2 linked regions of the Stegostoma tigrinum genome follow. The protein of the gene in region 2 purifies or fractionates together with the protein of the main gene of each other region. This does not show direct contact. Links are inferred from orthologs where the notes say so. Each region holds a gene or a part of one and is shown on either strand. Other genes may lie near its edges.

Evidence for each region. Proteins that work in one complex are often made in the same cells at the same time.
Region 1: the proteins of rack1 (region 2) and helz purify together in Homo sapiens (affinity purification with mass spectrometry; 3 studies listed by BioGRID and IntAct, counting the BioPlex papers as one, with this or other methods). This does not show direct contact. The link is inferred for Stegostoma tigrinum from reciprocal best matches to the Homo sapiens genes RACK1 and HELZ.

Annotation. Positions count from the first base shown.
Region 1 is NC_081375.1:9,906,324-9,913,571, forward strand, and holds the start of helz (probable helicase with zinc finger domain), read right to left. Parts: upstream 3,078-7,248; 5' UTR 3,031-3,077; intron 1-3,030. UniProt on the Homo sapiens protein: May act as a helicase that plays a role in RNA metabolism in multiple tissues and organs within the developing embryo.
Region 2 is NC_081366.1:36,420,918-36,428,473, reverse strand, and holds the start of rack1 (small ribosomal subunit protein RACK1), read right to left. Parts: upstream 3,089-7,556; 5' UTR 2,975-3,088; coding exon 2,866-2,974; intron 1,880-2,865; coding exon 1,708-1,879; intron 1,521-1,707; coding exon 1,373-1,520; intron 1-1,372. UniProt on the Homo sapiens protein: Scaffolding protein involved in the recruitment, assembly and/or regulation of a variety of signaling molecules. Interacts with a wide variety of proteins and plays a role in many cellular processes.

The DNA.
Region 1 (7,248 bases), on a different chromosome or scaffold from region 2:
AATTTCTGATGCTCCAGGAAAAATAGCCCCAACCTGTTCAGCCTCTCCCTACAGTTCAAACCCTCCAACGTTGGTAACATCCTTGTAAATCTTTTCTGAACCCTTTCAAGTTTCACAACATCCTTCACAAAGCAGGGAGACCAGAATAGCGCACAGTATTCTACAAGTGACCTAACCAATGTCCTGTACAGCCACATGACCTCCCAAATCCTACACTCAATGCACTGACCAATAAAGGCAAGCATATCAAACACGTTCTTCACTACCCCGTCAACCTGCACTTTCAAGGAAATATGAACCTGCACTCTAAGGTCTCTCCGTTCAGCAACACTCCCCAGGACCTTACCATTAAGTGGATAAATCTGCCCTGATTTGCCTTTCTAAAATGCAGCACCTCACATTTATCTAAATTAACTCCATCTGCCATTCCATCAGATCGAGGTCCCGTTGTACTCTGACACCACCAATCTGCAAACTTGTGAAGCATACCTCCCATGTTCACATCCAAATCATTTATATAAATGACAAAAGCAGTGGACCCAAAACCGATCTTTTTGGTATGCCGCTGGTTACAGGCGTCCTGTCTGAAAAACAACCCTTCTCCACCACCCTGTCTCCTACTTTTGAGCTAGTTCTAAGTTAGCAGTTATCAATCAAAATGCCTGGCTGGTACATTATAAATTGATCATCTGTGTTCTTGTGCTCAATGGCAGCAAGCACAATGGTGCACCAACGTTGCGTTAAAGAGCATTACAATGGAAATTATGGTGGCCACTTCCAACCAAACTGGAACCAGAGGGAAAGCATCACGTTTATATAATCAGTACCTTGGCAGAAAACAGCTGCTTTCAGATGGGGAAGTAGGAAGACAAGCAGATAGTCACCAGTGCATACCCAGACCAATATTCAAGACAAACATCAATACAAGTCTCCTCAAAAGTGAGAAAAGGCAGACTGTTATAATGCCTTTCCAAAATAATCACTGACTCAAATTCATTGAATCCCTACACCATGGCAATAGGCCATTCAGCCCATCAAGCCCACACCGACCCTCCAAACAACATTCCACCCCGACCAACACCCACCCCCCCCAACCCCCCGCCTACCCTAGCCCTGTTACCCTGCATTTCCCATGGCTAATCCACCTAGCTTGCACATCCCTGGACGCTATAGACTTTTTTTTTTAAATAATCAAACCACCTAATCCACACATCTTTGGACTGTGGGAAGAAACCAGGGCACCCAGGAGGAAACCCACACAGACACAGGAAGAATGTGCAAACTCCACACAGTCACCCAAGGCTGGAATTGAACCCGAATCTCTGGTACCGTGAGGCAGCAGTGTTAACTAGTAAGGCATCGTGCTGCCCACAGCAGGCCATTCGGCCCATTGAACTTGCTTTATCATCTAATAAATTATGTCTGATCTGATTGTAACCTCAAATCTGAATTCCAGCCTGCCTTACTTTTCACACCCTTAGCAAGAATCTGTCTTGCTCTGCCTTATAAATATTCATCCTTTCAGGAAGAGCAGTCCAAAAATTCCCAACCACGACAGGTAAAAATATTGACCAACCAGCATTTTAAATCAATTCTCAATTTTTAAACAGTAGACCCTAGTTCCAGATTCTCTCCTAAGAGGAAATATCCTCTCCACATTTACCCTGCCAAATCCCCTCAGGCTTTAGCATGTTTCAATCATTAACAAGGTATCATTAAATAAACACTCACTCTGAAGGCATTTCAAAACACTTGAGTGTTAGAAGTCACACGACACCAAATTATAGTCCAACAGGTTTATTTGAAATCACAAACATTCAGAGTGCAGACCCTTCATCAGGAGCAGACAAAGAGTGTTGACAGTGAGGAAACATAAATGGATCAGGATCAAGACGAAAGAGACAGCAAAGTGAAGAAGAGGATAACTCCAGGAGTTTGTGCAGTTGGGGGGAGGGGGTAATCTGCTCATATTAAACTCAAGTACATTTACATGAAAATTAGTAAATATTTATTTAAGCAATCTAATGTGCAATAAAAAACAAAAATAGCTGAGAAATAAGACAAAGGCAGCTGATTTATTACAGTTCCAATAAACTTTCAGTTGTATAATTCCATACCATCAGGAGCTGAGAACAAAACAAAATGCAAAAGTTCATGTTTTGGATACAAGGTTTGAAATTTGTAATATCATTATTTCACAAAAGGATTAGTAAAAATATTTTAAATTCCTTATTAGCATGACAACTACAAAGATCAGATCAGTTTAACTGACAGAAGTTTTGCTGAATGCCAGTAAATAATGTAATATAGTGGTAAAAGAATCCTACTTCAAAACAAGCGTCCATAAAATAATATTAATGAGACTCGGCGAAAAGTTCGCCCTCATTTGAGGGCTTTTATCAGTCATGTAACACCAGTGAGAAGAAACTTCTTTTTATATAAAAAAAAAGTTGCTTGCTTTAAAGATCGATTTTGCAAATCTTATTAAAATCAAGCAGGTAAACAAAAGAAAAAGCAGGCGAATAGGAAGTGCTCTAACAATAAACAGACCACTGTAGCAGTAAAGGTGCATTATTTTCCCAACAGAGACATAACGAAGTGGTTGGGGAGAACAGTGAGAGGGAATAATGTGAAGAGAGCACGGCGGTGCTTCCCAGCCCATCCGGCACAACCCCCACCGCCGCCACTTGTTTACACGATCTACTCTCTGGCCTCGACAAGCCCTGGGCCTGTACACTTCCCAGAGCTGAGCTCTCTCCTAAACTCGGCGACATTAACTGCAGGCAGGGAAAAAGGGCGATGAGCCGGCCTGTTGATATCACCATCCCCAGGCCTTGGATTGAAAGGCGGCCTCAGTAACACCGACCCCCCCCCCCAACAGCCTCCTTCAAACAACAGACTGACAGCTCCGCCACCACAGGCACCCTCGCCGACTTCTCCAAACTCTTCTCCCCAACCATCGTAAGGCTCCGGGGAGGGACCAGCCCGGAGCGCGCAGCGGCTCAGACACCAACACAACTCCGCACCTACCTTTGCCTTTACTTTTGCGCCATCTTGGATCCACTTGTCAGCGTCCCCCGAGGCATTGTGGGAAGCTGGCCCACTGCGCCTGCGCGAGTATTTCCAGGGGAGCGCACCGTTGAGAATGTTCCACCACAGCAGTATCAGGTGAGGGGTTGGAACAGGCGAAGAGCTGCAGCAGTAGTTAAGGGATGGGAACAGCATTTAAAAGGTTAGAACAGGTGAGAGGCTGGAGGAGTGGGCGATGTGTTGGAGGGGCAGGCGGAGGGTTGGAGCAGGCGACGGCGTTGAGGGGCAGGTAGAGGGTTGGCGCAGGCGACGGGTTGGGGGGGGCAGGTAGAGGGTTGGAGGGGCAGGGAGAGGGTTGGAGCAGGCGACGGGTTGGGGGGGGCAGGTAGAGGGTTGGAGGGGCAGGGAGAGGGTTGGAGGAGGCGACGGGTTGGAGGGGCAGGGAGAGGGTTGGAGCAGGCGACGGGATGGAGGAGCAGGGAGAGGGTTGGAGCAGGCGACGCGTTGGAGGAGCAGGGAGAGGGTTGGAGCAGGTGACGGTTTGGGGGGGCGGGCGACGGGTTGGGGGGGCAGGGAGAGGGTTGGAGCAGGCGACGGGTTGGAGGGGCAGGGAGAGGGTTGGAGCAGGCGACGGGTTGGAGGGGCAGGGAGAGGGTTGGAGCAGGCGACGGGTTGGAGGGGCAGGGAGAGGGTTGGAGCAGGCGACGGGTTGGAGGGGCAGGTAGAGGGTTGGAGCAGGCGACGGGTTGGAGGGGCAGGGAGAGGGTTGGAGCAGGCGACGGGTTGGAGGGGCAGGGAGAGGGTTGGAGCAGGCGACGGGTTGGAGGGGCAGGTAGAGGGTTGGAGCAGGCGACGGGTTGGAGGGGCAGGGAGAGGGTTGGAGCAGGCGACGGGTTTGGCGGGCAGGTGGAGGGTTGGCGCAGGCGACGGGTTGGAGGGGCAGGTAGTGGGTTGGCGCAGGCGACGGGTTGGGGGGGCAGGCGACGGGTTGGGGGGGCAGGCGACGGGTTGGGGGGGCAGGTAGAGGGTTGGGGGGGCAGGTAGAGGGTTGGAGGGGGCGACGGGTTGGAGGGGCAGGGACAGGGTTGGAGCAGGCGACGGGTTGGAGGAGCAGGGACAGGGTTGGGGGAGCAGGCGACGGGTTGGAGGGGCAGGCGACGGGTTTGAGGGGCAGGCGACGGGTTTGAGGGGCAGGCGACGGGTTTGAGGGGCAGGCGACGGGTTTGAGGGGCAGGCGACGGGTTTGAGGGGCAGGCGACGGGTTTGAGGGGCAGGCGACGGGTTTGAGGGGCAGGCGACGGGTTTGAGGGGCAGGCGACGGGTTTGAGGGGCAGGCGACGGGTTTGAGGGGCAGGCGACGGGTTTGAGGGGCAGGCGACGGGATGGAGGGGCAGGCGACGGGATGGAGGGGCAGGTAGAGGTTTGGAGCTGGCGACGGGTTGGAGGGGCAGGCGACGGGTTGGAGGGGCAGGCGGGAAAGGGTTGGGGGAGCAGGCGACGGGTTGGAGGGGCAGGCGGGAAAGGGTTGGGGGAGCAGGCGACGGGTTGGAGGGGCAGGCGACGGGTTGGAGGGGCAGGGAGAGGGTTGGGGCAGGCGACGGGTTGGAGGGGCAGGGAGAGGGTTGGAGCAGGCGACGGGATGGAGCAGGGGCCGGGTTGGGGGAGCATTTAAAAGGTTGGAGCAGATGAGGGGCTGAAGTGGTAGGTGAAGGGTAGTATTTGCAGGCTGGAGCAGAAATAGCTGAGACAGTGAAGAGATACATGAAGGGTGGCAGGGGCTGCTCTACTTCCAACATCTTTCTCTGACTTGCTCCAACCTCAATCAATTAAAATGTGACTTTTTAAAAGAAAATTCTACATTGGATATCAAGAATACTGACTAGGTATGTGCCCATCCTTTCTAGTCCGTGAGAAGGTGGTGGTGAGTTGATTTTGTTTTCAATCTCTGTAGTCCTTGAGGTGTATCGACCCCCACCCAGTGCTGTTAGGGAGACAGTATATATTTGAAAGTAATGAATTTCGAGGGTGCTGGAGAATGGGTTTTTTTTTCAGAATTGAATTTCTATGGTTCCAGGACTTTAACGTAGTGATGCTTAAAGATACATTTTCAAGCCAGGACAGTTTATTTCTTGGAGGGTAATTTGCAGATAAAGGTCTCCCGTTTGTAGGATTCTTTCAAAGGTGCCTTGCAATGAATCTTTAGTACACGCTGTTTTGGTTGTGAAGGGAGTTAATTTATGTATATCCATACATGATTAAGTCAAATTATGTATTTCCAACAATTTGAAATAACATAACTTGCCTGCTTTTCTGCTGGAAATCTTATCACAATACATTCAAATTTAGGGATCTCTGATGAAGGGTCTAGGCCCGAAACATCAGCTTTTGTGCTCCTGAGATGCTACTTGGCTTGCTGTGTTCATCCAGCCTCCCACTTTGTTATCTTGGATTCTCCAGCATCTGCAGTTCCCATTGTCATCGAGTTCAATGAATACAGCTTTTGTGATGCTCAAGAAGTTTTGCTCAAATCGAGTTTACAATCTTAACTTTTATTACATGGCAGATGGCCATAACTTAAATCACTCTGCTTCATCATGTACTGTAGGGTGGTAATTGACAAATAGACAGGAAATCAGGACCGTTTCTGCAAAATGTAACAAAGCATGCATTTGTGCCACGCATCACTGAGGTTCCATCAGTTGTGATGGAAACCAGTTTCTTGATGAGAATGTTTTTCTCACACACCTGCCTTTTGAATTTGTTATAGATATCCTCACCCCTTGTCCCATCTTTAAAGGGGAAAAGCGTGAGCAGTTTAGTTAATATTCCTTAAGAAGCATACGCACAAGAACAATCAACTGGGCTGTGCCAGCCATGTCAGCGGATTCGGAAGTGTTCACATTCCTTCAAGACCTGCTGTACTTGTTGATAGACCTCTTCAGACAAAGGTTCCACTTGTTTTGCTATGGTATAAGCATCAAGTAACCTGCTCCATATTGTTGTTATTATTTTTTCTTTGTTCTTAAGGTCTATAAATAATAATCGGTGGCCCGAGTTGTTGATTCTTTAATTACTTTGGCATCTGTGAATAATTTCTTGTGTTTTGCCAGAAGATGGGGAAATGTGAAAAGAATGCTTCAATGCAAACCTTCCTTTTTGCTGCTTATTTAGAAAAACTAGGTAATGTTTTCTTCACTAGACCAAAACATTAACTCTGATTTCTCTTCACACATGCTGTTAGACCAGTTGAGCTTTTCCACCAACTTCTGCTTTAGTTTCCGATTTACAGCACCTGTAGTTCTCAAGTTTTTTTATTCAATGTTATCTTTTAGCAACATTGGTCAGGGTGCTTGGGAGAATGCCCTTGTTCTTTTTTAAAAAATAGCATCATGAAGTTTCTTATGTCCGCCAATCTGTTACATGTAGGCCTATGTTAATATTCAACAGGCAGCATCTTCGAAAAATGAAGTGTCTTATTAGGTTTTTGTGCTCAAGTCTCTGGAGAGGGACATGAAGCCCTAACTGATGACTTACAGTTGAGAGAGATATCAACAATAATTACAATAAGTAATATTACCACTTTTACATGTGTTTCCTTGATGATTTGCTCACACACAAACACCATTCTGCAATGGTATAAATGACACCACAAACAGTGATCCCAATGGTCTTACATCAGCAAACTTAATCTCAAGTCTCATGAAATGGCCTAGAATGATGTAGGGTAATGGTTCAAGTTAATAGGGTATAATTTTCTACAGTTGTATACCATGCTGCATAATGTTGGTAAGCCATTTTAATAGCCGCAACTCTGGAAAATTTATCGCCAATGTGTCCTTTGGCTAAGATAACAAAGTGTGGGGAAAATTTTTCTGATGAAGGGTCCAGGCCCGAAACGTCAGCTTTTGTGCTCCTGAGATGCTGCTTGGCCTGCTGTGTTCATCCAGCCTCACATTTTATTATCTTGGAATTCTCCAGCATCTGCAGTTCCCATTATCTCTGTCCTTTTGGCTCTGTTAGGTCTAAAGAGCTCTAAAGTAACAAGACTCTGGAACAAGAATAACAGGAGCCTTGTCATATTGTTTTATGGAGGTAACAGTGCCACCCTGAGGAAGAAAATTATTTAAAACAAAATTAATATAATTAGTTTAGACGCATCTACAAATCAATAGTTTGTTTATTTATATTACCAGCTGTTAAAAACAAACAAAGTATTTA
Region 2 (7,556 bases):
TAACTGATTTCAAGGTACAATAATCTGTAAGTTCATCATGAATATGAGAAAGTCACTACTCAGAGGATGCACAATTCCATTAATGAGCCAAGAAATTTGCTTTCATCTCAAACTTTAAGTCAGAAATATTCTCCCATTCTGCAACTGCCAATTTTTTCTAGGCTCCTCCACAAGGTAAAACAATTTCAATGTTACCTTCCAAGCCCCGAGGTACTTTTCAACAAGATTACTCATTCTTCTCAACTGAGGTCAAAGGCCTAACCTTTCCTCAAATCAACCGCTCATTCTGAACTGCCTCTAATGCAAGCATGTCCCGTTGTAATTAAAGCTCAAACTATAAATTGTACTCCAACACCCTGTGCAACTTCCCACAATTAGTTGCTGCTTCTACATTCTAACAGTTGAAATTCATACAAGTAGCTACGCAGATTTGTGTATCATATTCAATTTTCTGCTTTCCTATTCTTCCCGGCAAGTGGATAATCTTATTGTCTCCCACACTTATGCCAAAATATCAACCATTCATTCATACTAATTAAATGGCTTTGCAAACTGTATCCTCACAACCAGCTTCCTTACCTATAGAGTCAGCAAGTTTGGCTATAATAAACAAACACATCCTAGTGCCCAACCAGTAAAAGGGGCTGACCTTATCTCGCTTCTTAAAAGCAAAGTCTCATTCATATGATAAATTTCCAGACTGGTGGCCCTGCTATTTTTGCTGTTCAATTAAATATTAAGCAACTCAAGAAATACCAAACACTGTTGAACTCAATGTTCAGCCATTTATATTCACGCTCACATCTCCTTTCTATTATGTAGTAACCATACTCATGTTATTTCAAATGGTGTAACTAAGAAGTCTACAACTGAATTGAGCAAAGGATAAACACAGTTCATTCATTTATCACTGTAAATTAAGCATATAATTTAGAACTTAACTGTGTGCTATACTTGTCTAGCCATTGCATTTAAACTATCGATACGAACTTGCTACCATTTCAGAAAACCCTCCAGCCACATCTCGAACAAAATAATCACTACCAGTTCATGTGTTCAGTTTGGGTGGAAAGGTAAAACACAACATTCAGACCAGCTGCCAGGCAGTCAACTTCTTGAGAATTAACTTCTTTCTGTACGTAAGTAGGAATGCAATTAAATACATGGGAATTTCAAAGCAAAAGACGTACTGTAGATTCCTTAAGTTCACAATTATCATTTGAATAGAATTGACAATGAGATATTCAATGTTTCAGCTTCTGCTGCCTGAGAATTTTGCACATGAATGCCAAATACGTAATAACAAAGTGAGATATTTTTCCCCTACATAGTGTAATAGCCATGCTTGGAAAAGTAATTGTGTCTGAGTTACCTGGATGGTGTATTTGCAAACACCTAATGTGTTCCACAGTTTTACAGTTTTGTCACGGGAACCAGACACAATTTGGCGATTATCAGCTGAAAAGGCAACACTCAGTACGTCCTTGGTGTGACCTACAAATCGACGTGTAGTCGATCCCCTGGAAGAGGAATTGTATTAATCATCCCAACAAGTAGTGAAAGAAACGACTGCAAATAATCAAGCAAAAATGTCTATTAATTTCTTTGGAACAAGTACCATTAAAAACATTTAAAATGCACCCGCAACAAATTATTCCACTCTTATTAAAAATCTGATTGTAGGCAATAAATTATTTGCATTCTTACATTGTCAAATCCCAAAGTCGTAGAGTTCCATCCCAGGAACCAGAAAGGGCAAACTGACCATCAGAAGAAATGACTACATCACTAATAAAGTGAGAGTGGCCACTGAGGGAACGCTGTGGGACACCATAGCTGGTCTCATCCCTAGTTAGCTTCCACATGATAATTGTTTTATCTGTAAGCAGAAATAAGCTTTTAGAACACTGCATTTAGATTAAGGTCACAGTTTGCTATATGAAAAGTTACTTTCCAGTTAGGGTATGAACTGATGTAATACATTTAAGTTTTCTAAAAACCAAATAGCTCACTTTTGCTCAAAATTAGAAACAAAACTAGTAATATTCCTGCAAGATTCCTTGGGGCATTTTACTTTAAGTGTGATAAAGTAATGCAAGTTATTTTAGGTCTGGAAACGTGGCATTTCAGATTTCAATACTTTCAAAGATTAATTTGAAACATACTTTTCTTCTATAAATGTTATTTGCCCAAAGAATAGAATTGAAAAGAATACATTAACGGGGTGCTCTCTCCACACTCCACCAGTTTCTGTTTTAGACTTCCCACATCCACAGATGTTTTGCCTGTGCAATGTCCCTTTACATCAGAAATAAGACAACACTCAATTTGTTACTCATTCTGCAAGCATTGGCATATTTGTAAGTATAAATTAATGCACCGGCAGTAAACCACTTTAACTCGTTAAAGCCCACAGGTCGGTAATTAACCTCAAGTTATTGAACTCTTAAAAAAGTGATATCCCCTGGCTATCAAAAATCTTGAAAGGCGGAGCAGACTCGAAGGCCCGGACGGCCTACTCCTCTTCCTAGTTCGTATGTTCCGTGTTCTAACGTTTCAGTTTTAGCCTCCTGATGGACACACAACGTGGTTCTGCAGCATTCGAGCTTGTGTGTCAGCAGCAGTGACTCGTTGCAATCGACTGAGAGCCGGGCCTAATAAGCAACGGAGGGCCGTAAAACTATCTACGTGTAAACCGTGAAGAAGTCCGGCTACAGACAACTCGAAAAGTTAACATAACGGGACTAAAAGAGAAACAGGCATTCATGATAAAACATACGGCCGAGAAACGGCTGCTCGGTCCGCCTTTGGCGGCGGATAGAGCCCGCACCCCGGTCCTCTTCCCTCCCCCTCCACGAAGAGTACCTCGGGACGCGGACAGAATCATGTCAGGAAACTGCGGGGTTGTGGCAATTTGTGTCACCCAGCCACTGTGGCCTTTTAGGGTGCCACGAAGGGTCATCTGCTCCGTCATTTTGAGTGGAGATGGGGCGTCCTATAGACGGATGAAAACGGATTGCAGCAGAGGACTCAGCCTCAGAACAACGCGCGTCCACCGGGCCGCAGAGAAAAAGGAAGCGCTCCGTAACAGGCCCGGACATGACGTCAATGGCGAGGAGAGGGCTGGGTGATTTTGATGGTGGCGCCGTCTCCTTGGTGACGTTTAACTTGATGTTGCCGGTTGGAGCTGCAAACTGTTTCGAAATAACAATTGTATACTTATAGCAAAATCAAGAACCTGATTGAAAGCAGCTAGCTGCCTCAGTCTGTTCTCAAATTATTCTGTCACACGGGAACTTACACCCGGAGGGAATGGATCCAACGATTCCAGTTACCCTTTCGACTGCTGGAAGTGTCAAAAGGCACTGACCAGCCAGCAGCAATCACTTGGAACTGTTGACCAAACAAGCAGTTGGCTGGGGACTGGAGCATTAAAAGATAATTTTGATAGCCACAAAATAGCAGAATCTAGCTGAATAGAAATTGCACATGGTAATTATTGACATATGAAGAAAGACTGAATCAACTTGGTTCGTACTCACTGGAATTTAGACGAATGACGGGGATCTCCTGGAAACATATAAAATTCCGTGGGAAGAATGTTCCTGATGTAGAGGAAGTCCAGAACTAAGGGTCACAATCTAAGAATAAGTAGTAGGCCATTCAGGACTGAGATGAGGAGGAATTTCTTCACTCAGAGAGTAGTGAATTTGTGGAATTCTCTACCTCAGAGAGTTGTGGGGCCACTTCATCAGATATATTCAAGTTGGAGCTGGACGTGGCCCTTATAACTTAAAGGGATCAATGGGTGTGGAGAGAAAGTGGAAACGGGATAATGAAATTGCATGATCAGCCATGATCATTTTGAATGGTGGTACAGGCTTGAAGGGCTGAATGACCTACTCCTGCACCTATTTTCTATGTTTCAATGTAATGTTTCATTTTGGTTGTACACTTGGCGATGTTCCTTGATAGTATGAAGCACCATAAATGCAAATGTAATTTTCTCCCTCCTGAAAAAAAGACAGGCTTGGAGACTGTGACTAACTCAAACACATTAAATGAAAAGCAGCAACGATCACATCAATTTTGTGCTGTGTACCACCTGAACTTTTTCACTCAATGCTAAGCAACCACTATTGATTATGTATGTCTGAAAAGGGTGCCATATCACGAGTGGATAGCTGCATTCAAAGCTAGTCTACACCACTTAAAGGGGAATATTTTGGCAATTATGTTAGTATGTTTACAGATGACACCAAAATGGGTGGTGTAGTGGACAGTGAAGAAGGTTATCTCAAAGGACAAGAAGGCCTTGATCACATGGGCCAAGAAATGGCTGATGAGGTTTAATTTGGATATGTTTTAGGTTTTGCATCTTGCTAAGGCAAACCAGGCCAAGACTTCTACAGCTGATGGCCGAACAGTGGTGAGTGCGCCGAACAAAGAGAACTAAGGGTGCAGGCGCATCCTTTTGGAAGTGGAGTCACAGGTAGACAGGATGGTGAAGAAGGTATTTGGCAAGCTTGCCTCCATTGGTCAATGCATCGAGTATAGAAGTTGGGACATCATATTGCATATAAAGTCATATAAAGTGAGGCTACTTTTAGAATACTGTGTTCAGTTGTGGCCTCCCTCCTGTAGGAAAGATATTAAACTTGAAAAGAGATAGTAGGAATTGCTGATGCTGGAGTCTGAGATGACAAGGTGTAGAGCTGGATGAACACAGCAGGCCAGACAGCATCAGAGGAGCAGGAAAGCTGACGTTTTGGGTCAGGAACCTTCTTCAGGAATGGGGGAGGGGAAGGGGGCTCTGAAAAAAATAGAGGGGGATGCGATGATAGAAGTTTGACAGAGGAGCAGATAGGTAGAGAGAAGACGGACAGGTCAAGGAGATGGGGATTAGGCCAGTAAAGGTGGGTGTAGGTGGGGATTTGGGATGGGGGTTGGTCAGTGAGGAGGGAGGGACGAGTACGTGGGAGGGAAGATGGACAGGTTAAGATGGTGGGGTGAGGCTATAGGTGCAATGTCCCCTCCACAGTGGTCAAGAACGCCCTTGACCACATCTCTCACGTTTCCCGCACCTCAGCCCTCACACCCCTTCCCCGCAATAACAACAAAGACAGAAATCTCCTTGTCCCCACATATCACCCCATCAACCTCTGGATTCAACACTTCATTCTCTACCACTTCCGCCACCTGCAATCTGACCCCACTACCAAGGACATATTTCCCTCCTCACCCTTATCTGCCTTCCAGAGGAACCGCTGTCTCCACGACTCCCTCATCCCCTCCACACTCCCCACTCACCCCAACACCCCTGGCACTTTTCCCTGCAACCGCAGGAAGTGCTATATCTCCCCCCTCACCTCCATCCCAGGCCGCAAGAAAACCTTCCACATTAAACAGATGCTCACCTGTACATTCACTAATGTCGTATACTATATCCACTGTTCCCGATCTGGCCTCCTCCACATCGGGGAAACCAAGCGGAGGTTTGGAGACCGCTTTGTGGAGCACCTACACTCAGTTCATGATAAGCGACAACACCCCAGTCGTGAACCACTTCAACTCCCCGTCCCACTCCTTGGATGACATGTCCATCCTGGGTCTTCTCCAGTGCCACAACAATGCCACCCGAAGGCTGGAGGAACAGCACCTCATATTGTGCTTGGGAACCCTGCAGCCCAATGGCCTCAATGTGGACTTTACAAGCTTCAAAACTGCCCCGCCCCGACCTCATCCCAAGACTAGCCCATCTCATCCCCGCCTCCTTGACCTCTCCATCTTTTCTTCCACCTATCCACTCCTCTCATCTCACTGACCAACCCCCACCCCCACTTCCTACCTACTAGCCTCATCCCCGCCTCCTTGACCTGTCCATCTTCCCTATCACCCACCCCCACCGACTAACCCCCATCCCAACTCCCTACCTACACTCACCTTTACTGGCTTCATCCCTGCCTCCTTGACCTGTCTGTTTTCTCTCCACCTATCTGCTCCTCTATCCACCTTCTATCATTGCCTCCCCGTCTCTCTATTTATTTCAGAGCCCCCTTCCCCGAAGAAAGGTCCAGACCCGAAACATCAGCTTTCCCACTCCTCTGATGCTGCCTGGCCTACTGTGTTCATCCAGCTCTACACCTCGTTATCTTAAACTTGAAAAGTTTCAGAACAGATTTATGAGAATGTTGCCAAGATTGGAATGTTTGAGTTATAGAGTGAGGCTGGAGCATCAGAGGCAGGGGTGACCTTATTGAGGTTTATAAAATCATGAGGGGCACGGATGGGGTGAATAGCCAAGGTCTTTTTGCTAGGGTAGTAGAGTTCATAACTAGAGGGCATGGATTCAAGGTGAGGGGGGCAAGATTTAAAAGGGATCTGAGGTGCAATTTCTTTCGTGCAGAGGTTAGTGCACTTATGGAACAACCTGCCAGTGGAAGTGGTGGAGGCAGATACAATTACAACAGTTAAAATGAATCTGGATGGCTGCATGAAATGGAAGCATTTAGAGGGATATAGGCCAAATACCTATATAATGGGATCAAATCAGTTTAGAATATCTAGTGAGAGCAGAGAAGTTGGACTGAAGGGTCTGTTTCCGTCTGTTTAACTCTATGACACTAAGTGAATATAATAACTGAAGAATGGCGCAACATACAAGAAATGGGCCTCCAAGGTTTTAGCTGATGCTCTGGAGGCCTTAGTGAATGAGGTAAACAGTAAGAAACATGATCTGTACCTGGAGGAAACCAAGAAATCATCTGCCACAAAAGATTATGGAAGCAGGTAGCTATGGCAGTCAATGCCAGTAATTAAGACCTAAAAGACCAGGAGGTAGGGCCATAAAAAAGTCAATGATTTTGTATGAGTCGTAAGATCAGTGAGTGTATTTTCAAATGCCACATCATACCAACAGGGTAACATGCAAGCAAAATGCCCCTGAGCAACAGGGTATGATGTGGGGCATTCAGCTTGTGTCATTGGGAGGGCTGAATGTTGTCTCACTGACACTTGAACCATTTGATTCACCTCATTTCCAAGTTAAACTAATTTGGCAATGTGAGGGAATCAAGAAAGAATAATTAAGGAAAATGTCAGACCTGCAAAACACTTTGAAAAAGCCTGGCACTAGCATTGTGAGTCACAAATAGGTGAATTTCAAGAAGTCGAGGAGAAAGGTAAGTCCAAAACAGAATAAATATGTATACATATAAGTGCATGAAGCATAATAAATAAGGTTGGGAAGTTACAGGTGAAGATTGCAACGTAGAATTATGATGTGGCAGTGATAGAAACTTGGTGGAAGGAAGCGTGAGGCTCGGTGTTAATTATTCCTGAATATAAGTTGTTCAGGAGAGGTGGAAAATAGGTAAAGGAGGAGTAATAGTAGTATCAGTTAAGGAGGTATTTCAGTCCTCGAGAAGGAAGATGTCTCAGAGGATTCAAGGACGGGCTCAATTTGGCTAGAGTTACAGAATAAAAATAGTACAATAACATTGTGCAGTGTAGTCTGCAGACCACCAAAAGTGGAAAGGATGTTGAGGAACAAATCT